Linked DNA regions of Diceros bicornis minor. The protein of the gene in region 1 interacts with the protein of each later gene in a biochemical or structural test. Links are inferred from orthologs where the notes say so. Each region holds a gene or a part of one and is shown on either strand. Other genes may lie near its edges.

Region 1 (5,985 bases):
CCCACAAAATCTGTTAAAGAGCTGTAGGCATCTTTCAGTAGCACTGTATGCTAAGCAGCTGCAAGCGTCAGATTAGTTTTTTGGGAAATGTAGCATCTTGAACAGTAAGGTCCCTAAAACATTCCTAGCTGCTTTGGTAGCCGCCTCCCCCCCATCAGCATCTCCATCACCTAGTAAAATGGCAGATCATCCGGCCATTATTAAATAGGCGCTACCTGTTACAACAAAGATTGAAAGTCGGACTCATCTATTTACTGTCTACTGCATTCGCACTACAATGGCAAAGACAGTAAACTGACCTTTAAAGAGTTGGCTGACCTTTGTTTTAACGAGCTCGTTGATTCCTAAGCACGGTGAAGTTTGAGAACACTGGCATAGCCCATAGTGGCTAGAATTTCAAACCCCGCTTCAGTACTTAACATTTAACGTATTCTCGGTTCCCTTTCATGTTATTCAGTAAAGATTTTTTGCCAAGGATGCAATCATGAAGCCTTTTACTTAAAATAGTGCAAGGTACTTTCGCATTCTGAAGACAACATTTTCTTGAGAATTTTGATGCATCCTAGAGGCTTTTTAAAAAGCCAGTAAGACATTTTCTCTGTACATTATCTTAAAAACTGAAGGAGAGGCGGGAAAACACTTCCTTTCCTTAGCGAATTAAACCAAGAGCCAATTCTGAGGGCGAGGCGGGGCGGGGCAGCAGTCTGCTGTCGAATCAGAACGCGAGGGTCGTTATAAATACTGGGACGACTGCTTCTTGCTCTCATTAGTGTTAAGTAGTTGGCTCTGCTTAGCTATGGCTCGCACCAAGCAGACAGCTCGCAAGTCCACCGGCGGCAAGGCGCCCCGCAAGCAGCTGGCTACCAAGGCGGCCCGCAAGAGCGCGCCGGCCACCGGCGGCGTGAAGAAGCCCCACCGCTACCGGCCCGGCACGGTGGCGCTGCGCGAGATCCGCCGCTACCAGAAGTCCACCGAGCTGCTGATCCGCAAGCTGCCCTTCCAGCGCCTGGTGCGCGAGATCGCGCAGGACTTCAAGACCGACCTGCGCTTCCAGAGCTCGGCCGTGATGGCGCTGCAGGAGGCGTGCGAGGCCTACCTGGTGGGGCTCTTCGAGGACACCAACCTGTGCGCCATCCACGCCAAGCGCGTCACCATCATGCCCAAGGACATCCAACTCGCGCGCCGCATCCGCGGGGAAAGAGCTTAAACTTGCTAGTGTTCCACCTGACATACTCTACCCCAAAGGGAACTCTACCCCAAAAGGCTCTTTTCAGAGCCCCTCCGTTGTCACCAAAAGGGAGCTGTTCTACAGAATATATGGTAGCACTATATGAAAAGAGTGCAGAGCGTTTCGACGAAATAGTTATTGTGGGCTCAGTTGGGAGATTGGTCTACAGGCTGGAGAGGTGACTGTGTATTCTGTAAACCCAACAACTTGATTCCACGGGAACACCTTGCTTGTACTCTGCGCAGTGAGGAGCTGTTTCTGGATAGGCATTCTTAAAATGATACAAGCATTTCAGAAACACCCTTGGCTACATGTAGTAACCGAAGCAAGACTGGCTTATGCCTTAGAAAAGTTTAGTTCAAATTACTGTGGATAGTTGTGCAAATGGCAAATACAGCTTAATTTTGCCAAGGATTCCTGGGATGACCTAAGAAATATGCCTCTTAATTTGCTTTCCTGTGACACGAAGGAATAGAACAAGTATCGTCATGAGTGTTTAGAAACTTGCTAGCTTTTCTGTTGCTCTTTTGTAATGTTTAACAAAGGCATATGTTAGGGGCTTTGCATGTATGTGATTATGTGTGGAAAACAGTGGGCCCACAAAGGCCTGGACACTTTGACTTGCAGGCTGTCATCTGTAAAATGAGCTCCCAATAGCTGTAAAAATCTAAAAAAAAATTTGCTCAAGTATTTTCAAAATCTGCCTGTCAGTCTATAAATTGGATGTTCATGTTTTGTTTTGTTTTTCCAAATAGAGAATCAGACTGGAAATTAAAGGTGAGATGTCATTTTGAAGTTGTTCCTTGTTTCCAAACTTGACTCCTTATTAATGTTGTCCAATGTTTTCAGCTTTTTAAAAAGTCTCCTCATGTACGACTATCATTGCCTTATTTTTCTGTTTACGCTTTTGGGTACACATCCTAACTCCAGGAGCTAGCGGAGTTAAGTGAAGGCAATTTTTCTCCTGAGTGTTCGAAGGCAGGTCAGCCATCTGAGCCTTCCTTTCTTTCCCCTATTTTTGTATTTGCCCTTCCAGAGAGGCTTATATTTCATCACTGGCTCCTTCTAAAGCTTTTTGGAATTGATTCAGCAAAAACGGTTCTGATCCATGGAGCCAGAAGCCTCTCCCTACAGATTAATTTAGCGCTCCTTTTTTGGCTTCCTGCTAGGTGTAAGGACGATTTGATGCTGCCTCTTCCAAACTTCAAAGATTATTCTCTCTCTGCACCCCTTCCAGGATCTCCCCATCATAATGGAGATGAAGCCAAGTGGTCTAGGTTCAAACTCAGAGCTGCCAAGTACTAGCTGTATAATTTTTGGTAAATTACTCATCCTCTTTCTGGGACTCAGCTTGTCCAGCTGTATGATGTGACAAATTAAAACCTGTAGAGTATCTTAGATTAGTTCCTGGTACTTAGTAAATGCTCAATGAATATTAGCTCTTAAAGTTATCACCCTCTCCTGCTGCTTAAACATGGAAGGTTTTTTCCTCTGGATCTTCTGAAAGTTTTGTGATAAAAACAGTGGAAATGCTTGTTCAGAACATTTTCCTGTTAAAATCTTTTCTTTTAGTTCTCGATTTGCATTGTTCTGAAAGAGGCAAGCTTGTAGCAATATACCATGAACTGCGTCTATGTGGAGGAGTTCAAAACACAGCAAAAGGGCCAGAGAGTTAGTAAATAGTTTATTTAGGTTTTGCAGGAGACATATGGTCTTCATCGCATTTTTCTTTTCTAACACAATTTTAATTTTTTATTTTATTTTTTTATTTTTTCCCCCAAAGCCCCAGTAGATAGTTCTATGTCATAGTCGCACATCCTTCTAGTTGCTGTATGTGGGACGCGGCCCAGCATGGCGGCACAAGCGGTGCGTCGGTGCGCGCCCAGGATCCGAACCGGGCTGCCAGTAGCGGAGTGGGTGCGCTTAAAGGGTAAGCCACGGGGCCGGCCCCTAACACAATTTTAAAATATAAAAACCACTCTTAGCCTGAGGGCCATACAAAAACAAGTCATTGTCCAGATTTGGCCATAGTTGACTGAATTTTCAAATCCAAGAGCTCCTGGAGAGAAGATGAAGTGTGTTGGCTAACACAGTTTTTCACAGGGAAGCATTGACTGTTGACTGCATTAGAGATCATAACCATTACCTGATCTCTTACCATCCAGGCACAAAATCCTGTCCATTCTCCACCCCACCCTCAAATAAATAGCAAACCTCACTCTCCATTCCAACTCATGGTCATTGCCTGAACTCCTTTGGATGTTAATATTTTCCTGAATTCTTCAGAACCTCTATAACCTCCTGTCCCTCAATACCCAATCTACCCTTCTTATAGTCAAGTAGCCAATTATTTTTCTAAAATACACGTCTATCTTCACTTAAACACACAAAAAATACCCACATTGATGTCTTCTGGCTGCTTACAAAAGAGGGTATTCCTGAGGATGCAATTTGGTAAATGTTGATGGAGGTAAGGAGTTTGAGTGAGAGCATTGGGAAGAGCACCTCGAAAACCTGACCAAGTCCCATTCATCTAAACAGTTTGTGCTCCTGAGGGCTACTGGAAGCAGGTTTCAGAGATTTTTCTAAAGGACATTATCTGGGCTAAGCATTTTCCGTCCTTATTTTAATGGGTTCACTTAGGAATCAAAGAGAGAAAGCATCTCAATAAAAAATGTACCAAATTTAAGTTTGAATTTGAATCCAAGTCGACGGATCCTGAAGCCAAAGCAATTTCTATTCCTCTTGGAGCAAGGTGGAAGAAGTCACTCTGGCAATTGAACTTTTCCAAGCTGCAAAATACCATTCTCTAAAGGCATTGGCATGTGGAAACTCCTAGGAGGCAGAACCGGTTTTTAAAGTAAGGTCCATGTGCTTAATTTGGGGCTGTAGGCAACCAGCCACCCTACGCCTGTGTTACTTGCTACAGTTTGAAACAAAGTTTATGTCCAAACCAAGGAACCTAGTGTCTTTCCTCCTGCAAAAATCAAAGGCTGAATTTAGGAACAAATCTTTTTAAAAAACGTTAACTTGATACTTAGTAAAAATTTATTGCAACATGCAACTAAGTAGCAGGATGATTTAAGCCGGGTGGATTCATATGAAAAGCCTAAGGGATTTTTAAATATATCTTTCATCAATTGTGCGTGATTTATGAAAACACAAACAAATACGTAAACCCGAAGGCTGTTTTCCTCTCTTGGAGCATCAAAGCGTCAAATTCTGTACTATTGTTTTCAGCATTTAATCAAATTTTGGGGACTAACAAACACAATTTGAGAGTCCAACCGGGAGAGGCGGCTGCCCGAGGGAGGTGGATTGGACGCTCCACCAATCAGAGGGCAGCACCGGCTTATATAAGCCCCGGGCCCCAGCAAGACAGCATTGCAAACCTTGCTCTTTGCATTTTGAGTTTCTCTTTCTTTAGTAGGTACTTTCATCACTATGTCGGAAACCGCTCCTGCTGAGACGGCTGCCCCGGCGCCAGTGGAGAAGTCTCCTGCCAAGAAGAAGGCAACCAAGAAGTCCGGGAGCGGTGGCGCGGCTAAGCGCAAGGCTACCGGGCCCCCAGTCTCTGAGCTGATCACTAAGGCTGTGGCTGCTTCTAAAGAACGCAATGGCCTGTCTTTGGCTGCACTCAAGAAGGCGCTCGCGGCTGGTGGCTACGACGTTGAGAAGAACAACAGCCGCATCAAGTTGGGTCTCAGGAGCCTGGTGAGCAAGGGCACTCTGGTGCAGACCAAGGGTACCGGTGCTTCGGGGTCCTTTAAGCTCAACAAAAAAGCGGCTTCTGGTGAAGCTAAGCCCAAGGCTAAGAAGGCGGGGGCAGCCAAAGGCAAGAAGCCTGCAGGGGCCACTCCTAAAAAGCCCAAGAAGACTGCGGGAGCGAAGAAAGCCGTGAAGAAGACTCCCAAGAAGGCCAAGAAGCCCGCGGCCGCTGGCGTCAAAAAAGTGGCCAAGAGTCCCAAGAAGGCCAAAGCTGCCGCCAAGCCGAAGAAGGCTGCCAAGAGCCCCGCCAAGCCCAAGGCAGTGAAGCCGAAGGCGGCCAAACCCAAAGCCACCAAGCCCAAGGCAGCAAAGCCCAAAGCTGCGAAGGCGAAGAAGGCAGCTCCCAAAAAGAAGTAGGTAGTCGGCGTTTAAAAACGACAGAACCCCAAAGGCTCTTTTCAGAGCCACCCAGAGATCTCCGAAAATGGCTGTGCACTGAATAACTTACCATCATTGTTGCCTTCCCGACCAACCTCCATGAGAGCCGTGCAACAGTATATTTACTAAAGTCTTGTTTACGTTTTCAGCTTTTCTGTTTAAAACTTTAAAGCGAAACCGTCAAGTTACAGTTAATGTCATACTCAGCAAAGCTTACTAAAGCAAGGGGAGTTAAGGGCCCCTACGTGTGCCACCACCCTGTAAAAAAACTCCGGGGAATCGTATCTTGAATAGATGGCTCAGCATCGGCTTTTCGGAGCTTTTGATTCTGGTTGCTTACTTACGACAAGGAAGGGGTTAGAATTTTAAAAAGCCCGCGCACGTTCCGATTGGTCAATTCTTTTTACTCGCTCGACGGGAAGTTTAATTCCGGTTCACGCGCCACCTACATGCCAGTTAGTACACTACTTTATTTGATCGATTGGCAGTATAGGCAGCATTCACAAGCCACAGACCTAACCAGAAGAGAAGAGGAGCAAGTTCAGGATCGTACATGCGTGGTGTCATTCATTTAAGATTTTAAAAGTATATTTACATAGACTAAAGTAATA
Region 2 (7,457 bases), on another chromosome or scaffold:
CTCTCCCTAAAGACAACTAAAAAGTGGTTTCGTCATTTGTCATGAATTTAAGATATTATTTGTCTAGAAATTGCCAAATGGTACCACTCTTAACATTAAATTTTGGCTTAAAGGAGCCAGGTTTTACAAAGTATCATTCCTATTGTTTGCATTTGAGATCATGATCTCATTTTTACTGAGAACCAAGAGCATTCAAAGCACATTATAGAGGCTATTTTGTTATTGTAAATTAAAGAATTTACTCTCTAAGCAGAAAACGCTGACATGGGCATTAAACCACAAACACCGTTCCAACCAAGATAAACTGCATTAAAATTTTCTCAGGTTGTCATAATCTCTTGCTTTACATAGCATTTTAGATTTACAAAGCACTTCACGTATCTTCATAATTAACTTAATCATCCCCCAAAACACATACTCAAACCCAAACATTTAGTTTTAAAATATCAGTGCTTTAATATTTAAATAAAACTTGTAGGTCAAGGACCCAGAGAAACAATAACGAAAGAAAGCTGAAAAATTAAAACCGATGTTAGACATCTTGGGGAATATTTTCCTGCAACTTCAAGTGGTTGCTTTACAGTTAACTGAAAAAATGTTGCAGGGATCACGCAGGGAGGAAGACGACAGGGAGTCCTTTATTTTCCACTTCACATTACACCTGGTGACCTGATGTGCCACAGGTCACCAGGGCCTAATCCTTCAGGGCAATTGATAGTGGAAAGACATTAGCTAGGCTGGGTATGTATGCTGCAAGTCCGTTTTCTAGCTTACCTACTTCCTGCAAAGGTAATCAGCAGTCCTGTTCCCTTTTAATGGAATTTCACAGTTGACAGAGGAGGCTGACGGCCTCCCCTTAACTAAATGCAGTATCTTCTTTGCCCTGATGCTCCAGGAACTCATTTTAAATAGCCTTATCTACCGTTACCTAGTCCTTCGAGCACAATTGCTTCATACACTGACTACACAGTGGAAATCATTCACCGAGGTGGCAGTGCTTTTCATAAAAGTGTACTTTTGAGATTTCTAAAAGGAAAGAAAAAATTAAGCACCTTTATTAGCACCATGTCTGTGGGACTCTCCCTTCGAGATGTTTTTTCCCCAGGTGTGGAGTCAAACAGAGCCATCCATCAAGGAAAAACTAAGCACCATATTAGCAAATTTGTGGGACTCTCCCTTAGAGATGATTTTCCCCAGGTGTAATGGATTCAAACAGAGCCATCCATAAAGGAAAAATTCAGTACTTTATTAGCACATTTGTGGGATTTGCCCTTGGAGATGCTTTTCCCCAGGTGTGATGGATTCAGCCATCCATCCATACGTTTTCCCTAGGGTCCCAACAAGACACATGTGCCACACAGCCAGCTGGTGGCAGGGTGAACTCTATGGCACTATCACCCTAGTACAGTCCCCCAGCCTAGGAAAGGTGGGAGTTAAGGAACCCTAGCCACAGCCCTGACTTGGGGGAGCTTCCTACATCTACAAGAGGTGGAAGAGGCAGGGTGTGTGGCAACCTAAAACAAAACCCCTGCTCCTCAGACTGGAACAACTGGAATTCCCTTAGTTCCAGCTTTCTAAACTATTTTTTTGGGGAGGGAGGGGGGTCACCGACCTTTTAGGAATCAGTTAATAAAAGCAATCATTCTCTCACCAGGAAAAAAAACACACACACACACACACATATGAACACAATTTCACCTAGATTTACAGGGTTCAGAGACCCCTGAAGCCCATCCTTTTATCAATTCCTCCCCAACCCCCCCAAGTTAAGAACACCTGGGTTCACTATAAATTACCTGAATCTGACACCTTTAGCCCTTACAGTATTTTTCTTAAATAAGGCCTCTGTCCTCATCAACAGGGTTACAGGTCTAATCTCGTGTTGACAGGGTCTATTTTAAATGACTCCCTCTGCCCTTCTGCCATTTGCCTGCTCCGTTCTAGTTCCCCCTCCCCCACTGCAAGCTTTCAACAGTTTGTTGCCTCTCCGATCTCTGAGCTCACCCAGGAAAGTCGAAGTCTCTCCGTGCCCAGTAGATACAAGCTACAGTAGGCAGAGACCCAAAGCTACAGGGGAAACACAAAACACACACCCCCCGAATGAGCCCAGCCTGGCTCGCCAACTTGGACCGCGCAGCGCAGTCGCCGGGGCTCCCCCGGCTCCTCCCGGGCGCGTTTCTCCGGAAACTCTGCCCTCTGAATTCTCCTTGTTGCTTTCCCCTTCGCTCACACCCGGGCAAGGGGCTGCTCCACTATCTGTACGGGAGAGCAGGCGCGCCTGGGGAGGTCGGGGGCACTAGACCCGTGGAGGGGGTTAACGTCAGTCCGCGCGGGGCCAGCCTCCCTCCTGCGGCAGGGGGTGTGTGACCCGGCGGCGACTTTCCCGGGAGTCCTGCCCGTGTGAGAGTGGCCGGGGCGGCCGGGCGCGCGCGTGTCATTCCGGGCGAGAGTTCGGACTCCCGCCGTCTCTCCAAGTTCCCCGAGTGAGTCAGCCCTGGGGTGGACGCGCCTGGACTGGGGGGCCCGCGCCAGGGTCCCCAGGGCGAAAGGACCCCGGCCTAGGGAGGAACTGGTCCCCAGCCCCTGGCACCGCCAGAGGGGTCCGGGATGCCGTCCGTGCGCCCTGCCGCGCCCCGCGCGCACCTACCAGATGAAGTCGGTGCAGTGGCTGCAGAAGGTGGGCTGCTTGAAGAAGCGGGCGATGAATTTGTGGTCCTTCACTTCGTGCACGTTCTTCTGTCTCAGCGCCCCTTTGCGGGCGAAGCGGTTGGCCACGTCCTGAGACGCCGTGGAGTCGTTGGCCGGGAAAACGTCAGCCATGGTCCCCCCAACCACCTCTTGCCTCCGCCGGGGAGCAGCAGCCGGGGAGGGCCGGGTGGGCGGGGGCGAGCGGGGGAGGGGCGGCGGGGACGCGGGCCGGGGGCGCTGCGAGGAGGCGCGGCGGAGGAGGCGGGGAGAGCCGGGCCGGAGCGGGAGCCGGAGCCGCTCGCTCGCTCGCTCGCTCGCTCGCTGGCCCCACGCTCACTGACAGCCCGGCGCCCGGCGCTCGCGCTTCCTACTCTCGGCGGCAGAGGCGGCCGGAGCGGCGCCGCCCACCGCGCATGCCCCGAGAGTGAGCGCCGCGCGGGCGAGGTGGCCGCGCGCCCACGGGGGCGCGCGCGGGGCGGCCGCGGGCGCCGGAGGAGTCGGCGCCTCCGCGTTTTCGGAGCAGCCGGGAGAGCGGAGGCGGCGGCGGCGGCGGCGGCGGCTGGGGGAGGGCCCGCCGGAATTTGGGAGCGGAGGAGGGCGCCGGGAGGGGCGGGCCCGTTCTCCTCCACCGCCTTTCTCTTTTCTTCCCTTCTCTCCTCCTCCTCTTCTTCCGCTCCTCTCTCGTCTTCTCCTCCCACTCCCGCTCGCTCTCTCCAGATCATCCTTCTCGCTCCTCTTTGCTCGTCTCCGGGGTCGGAGGTCTGCGTGGCCGAGGGGAGCCCCGAGTCCCAGGACGGGGTACGACGCAGCCCACGCCGCTCGGTCCGACCCGCTCGGACGCTCACTCTCCCTTCTCCCCCTTCCCAATCCTCCAGAACACGATGTCCAAGTTTTATCAGCCTGTATCAACTTGAGGTTTCACCTGGCTAAAATGTCACTCCAATTGTGTGCGCCCTAAAATGCACAACCCCTAGACCTTCACGCTCTTTCCATATGGCGGGAGAAAGGGAACGATTTTAAATCATTGAACACTGACCCTTTCACCTGCCTCTAATTGTTGGCCTATATTTCACCTGCGTCTTGTATGGACATCTAATTTGGACGTAGGGTGGTTAAAGGACTTGTCCTAGTTATTTATCCCATTACTCGTTGGCTACCACAGTTACAACGTTGATTATCAGGCTTTCTTGATTTTTACAAGTCCAGAAGCTCAATTTAGAAATCATTTTGCGTCCTAAGCTAATTACTGCAGTACTGGCAGGTGCAAAGTGCAGCCAGTTCATTTGTAAATTACCAAGTAAAACTGTTTGTGAAAGGGTAGCTGGCATGGATATGTAAAGGATGCACGTGGGATATACCAACTAATCATTTGCTGAATATTTATTAGTTCTGCCTCTAGAATGCTGAAATGCATAAGGGAAACAGCTATCTCCCAGTATTTCATTATTGTTTTATTTCATTGTCAGATTCACTAAGTTCACAAAACAACTTCATGAACTAAAGACATCAAGAAAGAGAATATGTTTAATCCTTCAAGAAGTTACAAAAAATAGAAAACTTTTCTAAGGTAGATACCACTTAGAGCATATCACATAGACCAAGTAGGGCTACCATTTTTTAAGATGCCTAATTGAATGCTTGATAATAGGAATGTCTTTTATGTTTTAATAGGTGTAAGCTATTGACTGGCCATTAGTGGAGCATGCACTGTGCCAGCCCATTTACAATCTCTTGAACCAGTGTAGTTGGTGCTTAAAGAGAACCTGCTTGATATTCTACCTGGTCAGAAATTTTGCCATTCGTGGCAACCCCCTCCAGTCCAAGGAGGCAAAAAAGAATGAAACACAGTTCTTTCCTCACAGCCATCTTGAAGACAGTGGTCCTCACGCATTTTAGGAAGACAAGCTTCTTTCTATTTCCCTGAAGCTTTGATGTAATGATGGAAGAAATATATGGGAGAGTTGGAGGTTGGGTTGCTGGTAGTGGAATCCATGAGCAAAGTCATAGGGAAGATGAGCTAAGAACCAAGTGGACCTTGGCAGCAGCCTGCCCATCTTCTATGTACAGAGTAGAGTGACTGATCTCATCGGTGAGTAGACCAAATGGAGACAATATTTTTCTTGCAGGGTGTGGCTGTGCTTTCTTGCCTCAGTTATTACTGTTATTACTTGTGGGTATGGAGAGAACTAACTGGAAGTTTGTTGACTGATAGCTGGGCTGAGCTTGAGTGCTCCATTGCCTACAGCTTAGCTCAATTATGGGGGCGGGGGTGGGGATGCGCCTGGGGCAAGGAATTATCATGCAGTGTAACATTGCCTATAGCAAGGACTGATGGGAATGTGGGCTGCAGTTAACCCCTGCTGCCCACCTGAGAAGTCCTCATGGTAGCACTAAAATGGAGGGGATTACAGAAAGGAGAACCCCTAGGGAGGGCGTGGTCAGTCAGTCAGAGTATTAGTAATTATTTTAGAGTCTGCTGTTTCATGGGGAAGGTGCAGGAAAAAAACAGGGAATGGTAGACTGAACAGAGACCTTGTGAGAACCCCCCTCTGTGACCCCTGCCTTTGAGAAGTAAGCTTGAGACTCTTGGGAGAGGTGTTGCCTAGACCAGGAGGACCCGGAGGCTGGAGGCTGGGCTCAAAGTCAGGCCATTAAACTGATGCTTCTGGGGCCGGCCCCGTGGCTTAGCAGTTAAGTGCACACGCTCTGCTACCGGCGGCCTGGGTTCGGATCCCGGGCGCGCACCGACGCACCGCTTCTCTGGCCATGCTGAGGCCGCATCCCACATACAGCAACAAGAAGGATGTGCAACTATGACATACGACTATCTACTGGGGCTTTGGGGAGAAAAAACGGAGGAGGATTGGCAATAGATGTTAGCTCAGAGCCGGTCTTCCTCAGCAAAAAGAGGATGATTAGCATGGATGTTAGCTCAGGGCCGATCTTCCTCACAATAAAAAAATAAAATGTTTAAACTGATGCTTCTGAACCCGAGTGGTTTACTTAAAACCAATAGTCTTTACGATGCTACTTACAACTTGTTGCTCTCTGCAGATAACTGGTCTGTTTTCAAAAGGACCAGGCCATTTTCCTGTTGAGCAATAGGAATTGCTTTCAAGTGTAGAAAAAGCTTGATTCTGAGATTTATAGTAACCAAGATGATTTAAAGGCTCACGTTTTGCTCTATGCGATGAATTCAAGGCTTAGGAGAGCTAAGACAACTAGTGCAATGCATAATTAATTAGGCAGTGTTTAGAGTCAGGGTGAATGGCAGGTCTCAAGAAATGGGTAGAGACAAGGTCTAGCTGGGCAGGAGATGTAGGATGATGTTTCATAAGAGTGGATGAGTCAGAATCCCCAGTCAGAGGTTAACAGCAAGGCTGCCAGGAATGGTTGTGCAGGGGAGTGGGGGAAGACTTACCTTTCACTGTGTCTACCCTTTTGTACATTTGAAAACTTTGTTCCTAGTTTAAAGGTAAAAGTAACTTTTGAAAGGCCTCAAAGCAGAACACCACAGATCTCTAATTGGATATTTTGTATTAAAAGAAGGCCATACTTTGCTAGTAAGTGAAAGAAGCAGGATGTAAAACAGTATTCAAAATAAGATTCCATTTTTTAATGTCTGTACACTTATGTACACTCACATATACATAAATATAAATATGCTTGTGCATGTACACACACGTATATAAAGGTATGTACAGCAAAATGTTCATTTAAGTGACTATCTCTGGGTTGTGGATAGATGCTTTTTTGTACAGGAAGAGAAGCCTTTGACCTAGGACTCACATTTTGAAAGGGCAGTAGAAGCCATATTTTTTGATGTTTTTCTTTAATCAAAAAGGAGATATTTATTATTTTAACACAAAAGGTTGTATTGCCAGAATTTTGTTGTTGCATGGAGTACAAACCGTACACTTTGAATGTAAAATGTTTGAAAAGTCTGTTTTAAATCATTGACCCTCACCTCCTTCTTAGCCCCAGTCCACAACTGGGAGATGAAATCCTGAGTGGACTGCCCAAGGAACCTTCTTGGTGTCCAGGATTTTAGCTTCCTCCATAAAGTATTTTATCTCCACTTTCTTCCAGTTTTTCTATGATAGGCATGGTACCAACCAGATATAGGACTCAGAAGACCTGGGTTTAAGTACTAGCTCCAGCACTAACTGGCTTGTGTGACTTGGATAAATTGTGTAACTTGGATAAATTAACTCCCCCAAGTCTTTATTTCTTCACCTAAAAATGGAGAAATGCATAACTACCCTAGGATCTTCTTAAGAATTTAACCAGATGACGTACATATGAGTGTTTAGTGGGGCGGGCCCAGTGACGAAGCAGTTAAGTGCACACGCCCCGCTTCGGCGGCCTGGCATTGGCAAGTTCGGATCCAAGGTGCAGACGGATTCACCACTTGTCAAGCCGTGCTGTGGCGCTGTGCCATATAGAGTAGAGACAGATGGGCATGGATGTTAGCCCAGGGCCAATCTTCCTTGGCAAAAAGAGGATTGGCAATGGATGTTAGCTCAGGGCTAATCTTCGTCACACACACACCAAAAGAGTGTTTAGTAAATCCTCAAGTCTCATACAAATGTAAGGTAGAGTGTTCCTTCTCAGCTTTATCAAGTCTGCGTTTTGGAGAGAGTGAATTGAGAGCTCTCCTCTTCTAAGCCCATTCTTCCTCCAGAACTGACAGATGTATTTCCCTCCACTCCAGTGACTCTGAATTGGGAAGCAAGAGCTGACACGTGGAGGGAGGATAAAAAACTTAT

Evidence for each region.
Region 2: of the proteins of H1-5 (region 1) and PRKCA, one has a biochemical effect on the other in vitro, tested with the Homo sapiens proteins (2 studies listed by BioGRID). The link is inferred for Diceros bicornis minor from reciprocal best matches to the Homo sapiens genes H1-5 and PRKCA.

The regions. Positions count from the first base shown.
Region 1 is NC_080753.1:39,365,873-39,371,857, forward strand, and holds H1-5 (histone H1.5), read left to right. Parts: upstream 1-4,642; 5' UTR 4,643-4,672; coding exon 4,673-5,353; 3' UTR 5,354-5,412; downstream 5,413-5,985. Other genes in the region: uncharacterized protein LOC131413346, read left to right, coding at 687-1,125, 1,346-1,348. UniProt on the Homo sapiens protein: Histone H1 protein binds to linker DNA between nucleosomes forming the macromolecular structure known as the chromatin fiber. Histones H1 are necessary for the condensation of nucleosome chains into higher-order structured fibers.
Region 2 is NC_080757.1:48,863,215-48,870,671, forward strand, and holds the start of PRKCA (protein kinase C alpha type), read right to left. Parts: upstream 3,084-7,457; 5' UTR 2,821-3,083; coding exon 2,648-2,820; intron 1-2,647. UniProt on the Homo sapiens protein: Calcium-activated, phospholipid- and diacylglycerol (DAG)-dependent serine/threonine-protein kinase that is involved in positive and negative regulation of cell proliferation, apoptosis, differentiation, migration and adhesion, tumorigenesis, cardiac hypertrophy, angiogenesis, platelet function and inflammation, by directly phosphorylating targets such as RAF1, BCL2, CSPG4, TNNT2/CTNT, or activating signaling cascade involving MAPK1/3 (ERK1/2) and RAP1GAP.